2 linked regions of the Caenorhabditis elegans genome follow. The protein of the gene in region 1 purifies or fractionates together with the protein of each later gene. This does not show direct contact. Each region holds a gene or a part of one and is shown on either strand. Other genes may lie near its edges.

Region 1 (6,185 bases):
ACGCATCCTATGAATGTTCCTACGACTACGTAAGCAAATTTTATAAAAATATCTAAAGAAAGCGAGAAAAGCATTTCAAAAAGACAGTTTCAAGTGTTTCCGTCTCGAATAATTACTCTAAAACTTCCGGCAAATTGATATCCGGCGAATCGGCAATTTGCAGAAAATTAAATTTTCCGGCAAATCGGCAAACCGGCAAATTTGCGGCATACCACTGCTTTAGACTGGTATTGAAGGTTTTCGGCTGCCTGACAGCCGACTAATAATGTTTGTCGGTTTTCGACTGGTTAAAATTTACATATATAAAAAATTCAACTTAAGAATTTTGCCAATTTTGCTAAAATTCGGCCAAGTTTGTCCAGCCGACAGTCGGAAAAAAGCAGCCAAGGCCCCTAACTGTTCATTTCTTCCAGATCCCTGCTACTACAACTACAACAACTATTGCTACACCTTCTCCCATAACCAGTCATCCTTCACAACCGCTCAGGCAATCTGCGAGGAGGAATGCGGAAACCTAGTCTCAATCCACTCAGCTAACGAGAACCGTTATCTCATGAACATAGCCAGCCATAGAGCTTCCGATAACGTTCTTATTGGAGGCATGTGGCCTATGGATCACATGAACACCTGGGTGGATGGAACTATGTGGGACTACAGTAATATCGACTCAGTTTATAATCCGAAGAATCGGTGTATTGCCATGGCGAATAATGGAACATCGGAATATAATTTGGGACAATGGTTCGGTGTTGATTGCGAAGGTCTGTCCAGCTTCTTCTGTAAGCGGCCTGCCGGGGTGCCATGCTCCACAGACCAGCCGAAGGTCACAGTGACACCTGTCCCATCAAATGAGTCATTCTGCAACTCTACTGTCCTGATGACCCCCGGAATTATAACATCACCAAATTACCCACAAAACTATGACAATAACGTGTACTGCAGCTACAAGCTCTCCACCTTGGGATCCTACAACATCCTCCTTGAATTTACATCCTTCTCAACAGAGGAGAATGTCGATCTGGTTACGGTATACGACGGGGAATCAACAAATGGGCTGAAAATTGGAACTTATAGTGGATCTCGTGAGCCATTCCACTTGATTTCAAAAGGAAATAACTTCTTCGTCACGTTCGCAACAGATTCGAGGAATGTCTTCAAAGGATTCAGTGCCACTTTTGTGGCGTATTCTACTTAAATTCTAATGAATTTTAAATAAAAGTTTCATTAATAAAATATATGAAAAAAACGCTTAAACTGTTAATAAAGTATTATAAAATGCTCTCTCCATGAGTGCTCCTTGCTCCGGAGTCATGCGATTCAGAACCCGCAGGATTTTCGCCTCCATTAGGGCTCCATCAAAGTGCTCATCCGGCCTGAAAGAAAATAGCTTGAAAAGATTTTGGACTGGAGGTCAAGAGTGGGAAGAAAGACATTTACAACATCATAAGGGTAAAAAAAGAGGGGTGGCTAAGTTTGCAGCCGACATTTAATGGGTTTCCCGGAAGGCATATACTTACATATTATAGCTCAATTTGTCTGAATTAGTTAATTACGATAAATTGAATGAAGTGCTAAGTGCAGCCGACATATTACTGGACTAGCCAGCTACTCACTGTTTTTTAGATTCCTGCTCTTGATTTTCCACCGGGAGCCCGCCGATTTCTTCCCGAACATTTGCAAGATGCCTCTCGTCTCTGGAATTTCAATTTTTTTTTCGGGTTTCGAAGGGCTGAAACTGACCCATTTTCTGGTGAGACGGAACTCTCAGAAGAACGGGCAATCTCCATGGCGGACTTCAAAAACTGCTCGAACTCTGAGTTTTCCTGGGGCTCAGTAGCTATGGGCACAGCAGCTTGGGGCTCGGCAGCTTGGGGCTCAGCAGCTTGAAATGAGCTAGCTCTTTCCATTAGAGAATCTAGAAGTTGGTTGAGCTTTTGAGAACTTTTGGCTCTGAAATTTCTGGATTTTTAGCAAATCTTTTGAGGAGGATCTTACTGGCTCTTCGAGCATTTGACTGGAGGTGCGTCCACAATTTCCATCAAAGCATCCTCAAATTGTCCGGATAACTTTCTCGTCGGGGTACTTTTTCTGAAAAAAAATCCGTTTTAGTGGGCTTCTTCAGGATCAACTAACCTCTTCCGACTCCCCATCGAAGCTCTAGGAGCCTCGGGCTCCGCAACCGTTGGCTCCAGCTTCAACGCCGCCATCACTGAATCTGAGATCCTGCACAAGTCAACGGAGGTCTCGTGCTCCTTGAGAATTGCTAAGGCTATGGAGATGTCGCTGGGGGGTTCCAGGTTCAAAATTGAGGCAATGCTGTGGGAAGATTGACGGGAAGCTGTGGGGCATGGGGAGAGGCTCTGAAAAGACAAACTGTGATCTATGAGGATCCTTGGTCATGGGTACCCAGGTGTACAAGACCCCATGATCGGGTACCTGGACTAGTTGGGACCACGTCAGGCTACCCCATTTGGGTTTGATCTACTTAGATTTGCGATAATTGCGAGAAACTGATTTCGTATGGTTAAAAACGTGCTGACGTCACATTTTTCATGACAAAGTTCCCGCATTTTTTGTAGATCAAACCGTGATGGACCAGCCTGACACCACGTGGAACCACAAATGACCCCCTTACCTCCTGACGCTTGTCCATTGGTAGATTTGCAATCATACACGCCAAATAGTGCCGAAGGGTCTCACCACGCTCAAATTGAGGGACTTGGTACGTTTTGTAAGTTTTGGGATTTTCTGGTGCTTCTTTAGATATTGTAGGCTGCGGTGGTTTGGGCTTTTCGGTGGTTTTTCGGCGCCTCGTTTTCTTCACCGGAGCTTTGACAAGCTGTGGAGCAGCTGGATCGAGTTGGAAGGATGCGGGGAGTTGCTGGAAATTTTTTTTGAAATTGAGAAATTTTAAAAGCTCCAGTAAGGAAGAAATCTTTGGAAATTTTCAAAACGACGCAAAAATCTGAATATTTCCCAACTTTTCTAGTGTTGCAAAAAATAATAATAAAAATTTTTAAAGTTTGGACTGAAGTTTTCATTTGAAGCGATTCGAGAAATCTAGAAAAGTTCAGATTTTTTTTCTAAAAATAAAAAAAATCAGCTCATTTTCAAATTAAAGCAAAGTCGTAGAAATTTCAGAAATTTTAATTTTTTTTTGCTGAGAAAATTGTATATTTCCAAACTTATCGGATCATTTTTTTGATTTTTTTTTCAACTTCAATTATATTTCGTTTGGACTAACGCTTAGGCTTAGGCTTAGGCTTAGGCTTAAGCGTAGGCTTAGGCTCAAGCTTAGGCCTAGGTTCAGGCTTTGGCTTAGGCGTAGGCTTTGGCTTAAGCCGAGGCCTTGGTATAGGCTTAGCATTAGATGTGGGCTTAGGCTTATTCTTGCCAATCGAGAAAATTAAAAAAAAATTTGAATAATCTTTGCTGAAATTTTGAAAAAATTCAGTTTGCCAAAAAAAATAAAAAATCAGAAAAATGTCAGTAAACTTTCAAAAAATACAGTGTCAGACTGACATTTCCATATGAATGAAAAAATCTTTTTAAAAAATTCAAAAAACAATTCAAAACTTTTAAAACAAAATGTTTTACTGGGGAAATTGGGGAAATTTACTGGGGAAATTGGGTAAGTTGGGGAAATTTAAATGAAACTGAATTTTAAAAAATTTCAAAAAATTCTCAAATTTAACTTTTAAAATTTCAAACGTACCTGAGCCCGAAACTGCTGCATCATGAATTGCTGAGCCAGGAGCATTTGTTGGAGCTGCTGAGCTCCCGGCATTGGCCAAGCCTGCCCTTGCTGCAAGACGCGCTGCTGGAGCATCTGCATTTGATATTGAAATTCTCGTCGGGATTGCTCCGCGAGCTGCTCTTGGGACATTTTTTCCCCGATCTGAAATTTTTCAGTCATTTAGAAAAAAAATTAATTAAAGTTAAGCCAAAAATTCTTTAAAAATTAAAAAAAAAAGAAACGTACAAAAAAAAGTGTGGTTGGAGTATTAATGAGGTCAGAAATGATAAGAATTGCTGTTCGACTTATCAATTTTTTTAAACGGCAACCGCCAAATTGATAGCAGTCGGGTGAACCTTATCACCTAAAAAATGGAAGAAATAGTGAAATTTTTCTCAAAAAACCGTTTCGAGCGAAAAATTTGAAACAAAAGTGGCAAAGCAAATAGAAAAGAACGGGAGTGAAGGGAGAAGATGAAAAAAAAATGAAAAAAAATGCAAAGTTAAAATGCAAACATTAGTTAGACTCTGGAAAAATGATAAAATTTTGGGTTTTTGCAGAAATGTTCCCGCGACCAATCAGCGAAGTACAGGGGGCGTGGTCGACGTCGCTGATTGGCCCGAGTTTTTACTCTATTTTTTCTTTATCGGTGGAGTGGGAAAATGTTTAAAAACCATTTATATGGGTAGTAAAATTACCAATTATCAAAAAAAACTTATTTAGGCATAGGCTTAGGATCAGGATTAGGTTTAGGCTTAGGCTTAGGCTTAGGCTTAGGCTTAGGCTCAAACTTAGGCTAAGGCTAAGGCTCGGACTCACGGTTAGGTTTAGTGTTAGGCTTAGACTTGGGCTTAGGCTTGGGCTTAGGCTTAAGCTTAGTCTTATGCTTAGGCTTAGGTTTTGCGTAGGCTTAGGTTTAGGCTTAGGCGTAGGCTTAGGTTTAGGCTTAGGCTCAGGCTTAGGACTAGGCCTATATGGGACTGGGGAGGAGGGGGGGGGGGAGAAAAAAAGAATTTACCAGAAATTACTGAAAATCCAGAAAAAAAGGAAAAACAACAAAAAAAACCAGAAAAAGAATCATTCCAAAGTCGGTTCAGAAAATCCCATAAAAAAGGCCGAGAAAGTACCAAAAAAGACAAAACTTAATGAAAAAAAGTGAAAAAATATTGATGGAATTTCATTTTTAATGAAAATTTGGAAACTAAAGATTTAGCTAATGAAAACTGACAAGAAACTGCAAAAATTGCCCCACAAAAAGAAAAGAAAATTGAAAAATCGAGGAAATTTCGACAATCTGGATTGGATACGGGATATTGAAAATTTCAAAAAAAAAACACGGGAAATTAAAAAAAAATATTACAGCCTTCTCAGGAGGACAAGATCAGGATGAAAGGGAAATTTAAAATAAATTGTAATGAAGATCTGTCTGGACGGGGCTGCTCTTAATCGGAAAATGTTGATATCGAAGACGGTGTTGGTGATGAACGAGGGAGAATTGCTTTGCGTTGGGTCATAGGGCAATCGACATTTTTTCCCCAGCTCGCCTGTCTCCGATCAAACTACCAAGACAAGCTGAGAAACAAAAGTTAGCGGTAGGAAATAGACAGGCTGCCTGAAAAATTGGCTGCCTACTACGAAAGCTCAAGAAGAGCAGCCTCCTACTAAAATGAGCACAAAAATCACGGGCCCAGGCTCCCATAAAAAGACGAAAAGCCAGAGCCAAGATTAATGAAAAGTACGAGAAAATACGCTCTTTGTTTATTTCTTTTGGAAATTTCATTTTGCCATTCTGGAAAAACAACTTTTGAAGAAATGGAGAAATTTCTCTAACCTATCTGCCTATTTGCCTACCTTCAAATTTAAATTGAAAAGTTGTGGTCATTCATACAAAGCGCATTATTGGAATAAGAAATAAAATTGTAAATTTATTTCCGGCAATTTTGGACAAATTGCCGATTTGCGGTTTACCGGATTTTTTTTCCAGTTTTTTACTGGTTTGCCGGTTTACAGGAATTTGCGAAAATTGCAAACTTGCTGGAATTTGCCGGAATTTTGAAATCCGACACCTTGCCGGTTTGCCGATTTGTCAGAAATTTAAAAATCTGACAATTTTCCGGAAGACGGATACACTTAAAACGGCGCCTTTTTGGAATTTTTTCCCCGTTTTCTTTGAAAAAAAAGTCATTTATATCATGTGTACAATTTTGTCGTTCAAAATTAAAATTCTGAACCTTCCAGAAAAAAGTGCAAGCCCACAATTTCACTTTTCCAATTTTCAATTTCTTTTTCCGGCAATTTCGGCAAATCGGCAAATTGGCGGTTTGCCGAAAATTTTCGGCGAATTCGATAAATCGGCAATTTGCCGACTGTGCCAAAATTTTTCTATTTCAGCAATTGCCAAATTTGCCGCTTGCCAGAAAAAATTGTCTGCCACACCACCCCTGATGCA
Region 2 (5,845 bases), on another chromosome or scaffold:
AGACTATGGACACTCAAAATAGCTAATCCCGAGCGAATAGGTATTTTTTGTGGCAACTTATGCTCGGACTCTTTCCTTTCAAAAAAGTAAAAATTGTCTGTTGTGAAAATTTTGCCTAAAAACAGCCATTTTTCACGAATGATTGTTATAAATTTTCATAAAATAATACAAATTACACAAATGACCAGACAATAATTTTGCTTAGCTTCCCAAAAAACGAGTGGGAGGACGCTCAAAGACCTTCGTTTTTTGAGAATAGTTTTTTGATGACTGTTGATCCCCAATGATAAGATGTTTTTTCCCGAAGAAGCTGTAAAAAAAACAAGAAATATTTGCAGTTTCTAGAAATTACCCAAACACCACGGTTGAATTTTTTGAAATATGAAAAACACGATGATATTTGCTGAACTTGAGTTGTGTGTGTGTGTGAGAATCCTAGTGCCCGAAAGCTTGATTCCGCGTGGCTCATTGAGTGGAATAAATGAGAAAATGTGCCACGTGGAAGATTTTCGGCACAAATAGGGTTTTGTCAATTTTATCAATTATTTGAATGTGACTGAAAAAGTTGAGATTTTGGCTTCTCTGACAGATTAAGCCAAATCTACTCTTTTAAATTAAGCACTTCTGTGTCAATTTAATAGTTCGAATGCAACCTATGTTATAGGTTATGGATCCAGAAGGTTCCTGGGCCGGCCTCTTCTTTGCACATCTCTTCCTGAAATCCTTGTTTAAGTTGGGAGATTTTCTTCTACGTGGCTTCATGAATGGTGGTGAGACCAGTTTGTTGGATATGAAAAAGGGTTATTTATTATCGTTCTGTTTTCTTAAATATTTCAAATGTTGTGTTGTTTTTGCAGAATGAGCGCAACTTGAGTGGTCTTTGCTATATTTCGTATAGAAAACTTCGGCCTATAGTTTTGAGATTTTATGTAGGAAGATCTAGTTTGAAAGCTTTCGGAAGCTGTTGTACACTTGTGAAACACATTCAGCTGAATTAATTATTTAATTTTGTTTATTGAGTTTTTCAAACTATTCAAGAAAAAAAAATGGACAGTGAATAGAGGTGCGAGTTGATTATGCTGTGTGGGTTGCCTCTGAATTCAAAAAAAAACTGGAACAAAATAACAAAATACTGGAAAGAGATGAAAAAGGAGAGGATAAAATTGAACGAGGTAAGATAATTTTGAATCAAACAAATAAATTTCAATCCGACGGATGCTTTATTTCTTCTCGACGTCTTCTTCCTCGCCTTTGTTGATGAGATCCTTCATTTCTTGCTCGTTACTGAAAAATTAAAGAATTAAAAGTGTATTTCCTATAATAAAACATACGCCTTTTCAGCTGGCTTTGCTGCAGATGTTCCAGCCTTGTCCAAACTACAATTCTTGGTTTCCTGAAGGAAGAAGTAGGCGGCTACCACATTGGTAAGACCGAGACTGATTGAGATCATATGTACTCCTGGCTCGTAGACGGTTTTGAGACCACTCTGTAATTTAAGAAATTTAAATATTTTAGGTTTTAAAATGTAAAATTCAAGATAATTTCCTAAGATCTGTAATGAAAACTAACCAGCATAGATGCTCCAATGTTGGCGAATCTTCCTACGATTGAGCATGAAGCAGTTGACGTGGCACGAACATCTGTTGGCATGAGCTCAGAAGCACACAAGTAGCATGGTTCCCAAACAATTGATGTGAACACGAATGATGCCAAATAGACTGCCGTGTAATACCATTGCCCCTTTTCTCCGGCAAACAAGAAGGCAATGACACATCCGAAGAAGACAATAGCAAGAGATTGAGAGCATAGAAGTACGAAACGGCGTCCCATCCATGGAAGGTAGCCGTCAGCGAAGCCCATGATCTAGAAAATGTATTCATTAAATTGAAAAATTTACCCAGACGGGGAGTTTTGTACATACAGTACCCAGTCTCGAAACATTTTTTTGTAAAATACAAACAGATGTGCGCCTATAAAGATTACTGTAACTTTCAATATCTTGTTCTGCGTAATTTTCAGGGATTTTTTAAGTTTTTCTCACAATTTGTTCATATTTTTTGTCTTTCTGATTTCGAAAAAGTATGAAAAGCCGATAAAAATTCAGCCTCAACAAAAGTTTGAAACTACAGTAATCTTTACATGCGTTTCGAGACCCGGCACCGTATTTTTGAGGCCAAAATCGTAGAATTTCGTGTCTGGTTAATATTTCAACTTACGATTCTCACAACTGAAAGCAAAATTCCAGAAAGGAATTGTCCAACCCAGAAGTTCTTTGTCATATCTCCTCCACACAAATCGGTCAAATAAGCGGTCATTCCAGTTACGAACCACCTGAAAATTTAAGTTTTCCTAAGAAAAATTTAAAATGTGAAATTACATGAGCCAAAGAATCAGAATATTCTTGCGAAGTTGAGGATCAGCGAATACTGTGCAAATATTGACGGCCTTTTCTGGCTCAACGTTGTCCGCAGCTTTCTCTGGTGGTGGCACTGAAAGAATTGAAAAGTTAGAAAAAACAACAATTTCTGAAAAATACAGTTTTCATACTTGGAACAAATTCGATTCCAGCGAGATCAGCAATCCTTTTTCGGCTCACTTCTGCCTCCTCATAACGTCCTTTTTTACGGAGCCAAATGTGAGATTCAGGAAGAATAAAATAGACGATCGCAAGAGTGATAAGAGAAATAACAGCAGATACATGAGATGATAGACGCCATTCTCCAGTGAATAAGGCTACCAAAGTTAGCATTATACGTGCATTTGCCTGAAAAATTGATTAGGTAAATTGCAGACATTCTAGAATGAAACTATTTACCCAGTTACTGAATGTTCGGAGCTTAAATCTCTGATGTGGCGATACCAACTCGGAAAAATAAGCCCATCCGACAATCATTGTTCCAGCGATTCCGATTCCAGTTAAAGCGCGGAAAATGTAGAATGCGGCAATGGAATTGAATGTGGCTGAGAGTGAAAGTGATGGAATTCCAATGAGCATTGACAGAATAAAAGTCTTCTTTCGGCCAATTTGATCAGCTACATATCCGAGAATAATATTTCCGATGAGTACGCCAACGTATTGAACAAAAGCTGGACGGAAATCCTTCCATCCGGGACGACAGTAAATTTCGAATTCCATAGCGGCGGATGAATAATAAGAATGTGATTTCTCTGTGTGGCAATCCGAAAGAGCTGTTCCAGTCAAATTGGCGCAAAGGTTAGGGAAATTTTCATTGTACTCGAGGCACTTGGATTTTGGAACATCGTAGCATACTTTTCCTGAAAAAATAATTGCAAGATACTTTCTATGGAGACTTCAGCGAGAAAACCACAGGTGTTGACGAGCGATCTATCTCTCAAGTGCTGCAGCTGCAGTCACTCTTCTCATTTATTCAAAATTGTCATTTTCAAAGCTAGTTCTCGTGCGGAGAGATGGCCGAGCGGTCCAAGGCGCTGGTTTACTTCAGTTTTTTTCGCTGTTCTCTTCAGTTTTTTTACCTTGGGCAGTCTGGATGCAGTTTGTCTTTGGAGTGTAGTTCAGGAAAATGGGAAACAGTTGCTGAATTGAGAAGAAATGGCACATTTGGTATGAGATCAAAATGAGCACATCTACCCGGTAGATACCGGGTGGAATGATGTGCATTGTGATAGGTTAGTGGAGTTGAGTTGAACTGAAATATTAATTTTAAAGATTTTTGAAAATATTTTCGATTCTAAAGAGAAGAAGGGAATAAAAACAAGGAGTGACCTGATACTTGTTTACAAGATAAGAACGAGAAACAGCAGAGTCTAAGATGATAGCCATTTATCATCGAATTTTTTGGCAAAATCATCTACTGGTTCAGTCGTACAGAAAAATGAGAGTTTTGGTCTTTTTAAATAAGATCAGGAAATCGGTTAGTTATTTAGGAATAAATACATGTAAGTTTGAAGGGAAGGACATTGAAATATTAAGCATTTCTCTGATATTTGGGCAAACAACAACATCATCAAATATTTATGTGAAAATTTGTTCTTGTGGAAAGACTTAATCAAAAAGTAGCTACATATTCCAGTCTAAATCTGAAATCAAAAACTTTCTTGTCGTAACGATCTATAAAATGACGCCAACCACAAATTTTGCAAATTCTGCAATGATGCAAGTTGTGCCAAAAATTTGTTTTAGAAAAGTCACACGACAGAATAAACTAAAAATCACATAAAAAATATGACGAACACTTGAAATAGCGATAAGAAATAAACGTGGTGGCAGTAGCCAGGCGGAGAGCAGTGAAACGGGAGCGCAGAGATCTAAAGAATTGCGTCATTTCTACGGGCGCCCAGCATATGTTGAGGTCAAGCTCGTGTTACTTACACTATTCTTTCTTTTTCGGAGAACAATGAGAAGTGGAAAAATGCATAAATGGAGAATACAAAAATGTGTTCAACTTTCGTAACTGTAAAATCTGTAAATATCGTCAATGTTTTCAAAGTTTCCATGTGCTTTATCAGAAAGTATGCAACGATTTTAAAAGTGTGCAGTTAATTTAATGAAAATTAAATTACTTCAAAGAAATAATTTTTTGGTTTGGTTCCTGCCCTCAAGTAAATATTACATTGAAATGTATACATTTACTAAAGATTATAGGTCATACAAAGCAGCAAAAAAGGATGTGTTTAAAACGGCACGTGGGCATCGCAAATGAACGGAAAACCGAGGGGGTTAGAGAGGCTCAGTAGTAACCATCATAACTGTCTGCGTTTCTAACCGAACATCCACTATCTCTACGTTCAAATGGCCTTCTGTCAATGTCTGGTCCACTCTCAATCTCGTACACTCACTCGTTGACTCGGTCCGCGCAAGTAGTTCAGATATGTGAGCAGAAGCAAAAATGGGAGAGAGTCCGAGAGGAATACGTGTCATTGTGTGCGTGAGGACAAACGGAAGAGGGCGGAACATCAAAAACCACTGCAGATTGAGAAAAATAATAGAAAGATAAGAGATAGGTCGAGGAATTTTTCGGATTTTTTGTTATTTTATTGAAAGGGTGGGAAACGATTGAATTGTGAAAGTTTGCGCTGTGTGCTCAACGCTATTTTCTGAAAGTATAAGTCTGCCTAGTTTTTCATTAAAATGTCCAGAATGTTGCTTCATGTGAAATTGTCGTTCCAAACCTATTTGTAACTAGAGATTTGCGGAGATCTAAATGTTCCAGTAATCGGTGATTTCAGAAACTGCTTAGATTTGAATTACCGACAATTGGAAATCCCAACAATTTCAGAAAGTTAATCTCTTCAAATAAGGAGAAGTCTGGAACCAGATAACATATATGTTTTCTAATCCCTAGCAAAAACAGAAAACTGCACGTTTCTCAAGAAAAAAGTAGTAAGCAAAAGAGCCGGAGCACATCAAAAACGGCACGACGAAAATACTGATGACGTCAGAATCTTTTGGCCATAGAAATACATTTTGAAGGATGCAAACTGAAATGGAAAAGGGCAAGTAATATGACAAAAAATAATAGTTGTGAATCGTAAAAAATGTGAATTATTTTTCGGAAATTTCGTTCGACCTTGAACGTTTTTTGGAAACTTTTCAAGTGGAATGAGTGCAACTGAGGGGCGAAATACCAAACAAGTACAATTTTTGAAAGAAAAATCAAATAAGTTTCACTAGTAATGTGGTTTGAATTAATATAGATGGTGGAATGCCAAGTTATCACAATCTTGGTGTGTCGTTTTTTCCGGAAAAAATCTGCTTAACCAATACCAAAATTAAATGAAACATTGTTCATATTTAACCGAATGTCTAAATACAGGGTGGCCCATAATTATGCGGACCGCAAGTCGCGCTTATAAAATCTGATTT

What was found. Proteins that work in one complex are often made in the same cells at the same time.
Region 2: the proteins of C41H7.2 (region 1) and C46C2.2 fractionate together in Caenorhabditis elegans (co-fractionation; one large-scale study listed by BioGRID). This does not show direct contact.

Annotation. Positions count from the first base shown.
Region 1 is NC_003280.10:3,012,536-3,018,720, reverse strand, and holds C41H7.2 (AT-rich interactive domain-containing protein 2), read right to left. Parts: upstream 3,905-6,185; 5' UTR 3,887-3,904; coding exon 3,716-3,886; intron 2,882-3,715; coding exon 2,636-2,881; intron 2,361-2,635; coding exon 2,134-2,360; intron 2,089-2,133; coding exon 1,996-2,088; intron 1,951-1,995; coding exon 1,741-1,950; intron 1,695-1,740; coding exon 1,614-1,694; intron 1,537-1,613; coding exon of another isoform or gene 1,521-1,536; exon of another isoform or gene 1,518-1,520; intron 1,374-1,517; coding exon 1,250-1,373; 3' UTR 1,207-1,249; downstream 1-1,206. Other genes in the region: clec-3 (C-type LECtin), read left to right, coding at 414-1,195.
Region 2 is NC_003282.8:9,215,549-9,221,393, reverse strand, and holds C46C2.2 (Major facilitator superfamily (MFS) profile domain-containing protein), read right to left. Parts: upstream 3,669-5,845; 5' UTR 3,641-3,668; coding exon 3,496-3,640; intron 3,277-3,495; coding exon 2,816-3,276; intron 2,765-2,815; coding exon 2,548-2,764; intron 2,490-2,547; coding exon 2,378-2,489; intron 2,332-2,377; coding exon 2,217-2,331; intron 1,864-2,216; coding exon 1,570-1,863; intron 1,487-1,569; coding exon 1,332-1,486; intron 1,285-1,331; coding exon 1,221-1,284; 3' UTR 997-1,220; downstream 1-996.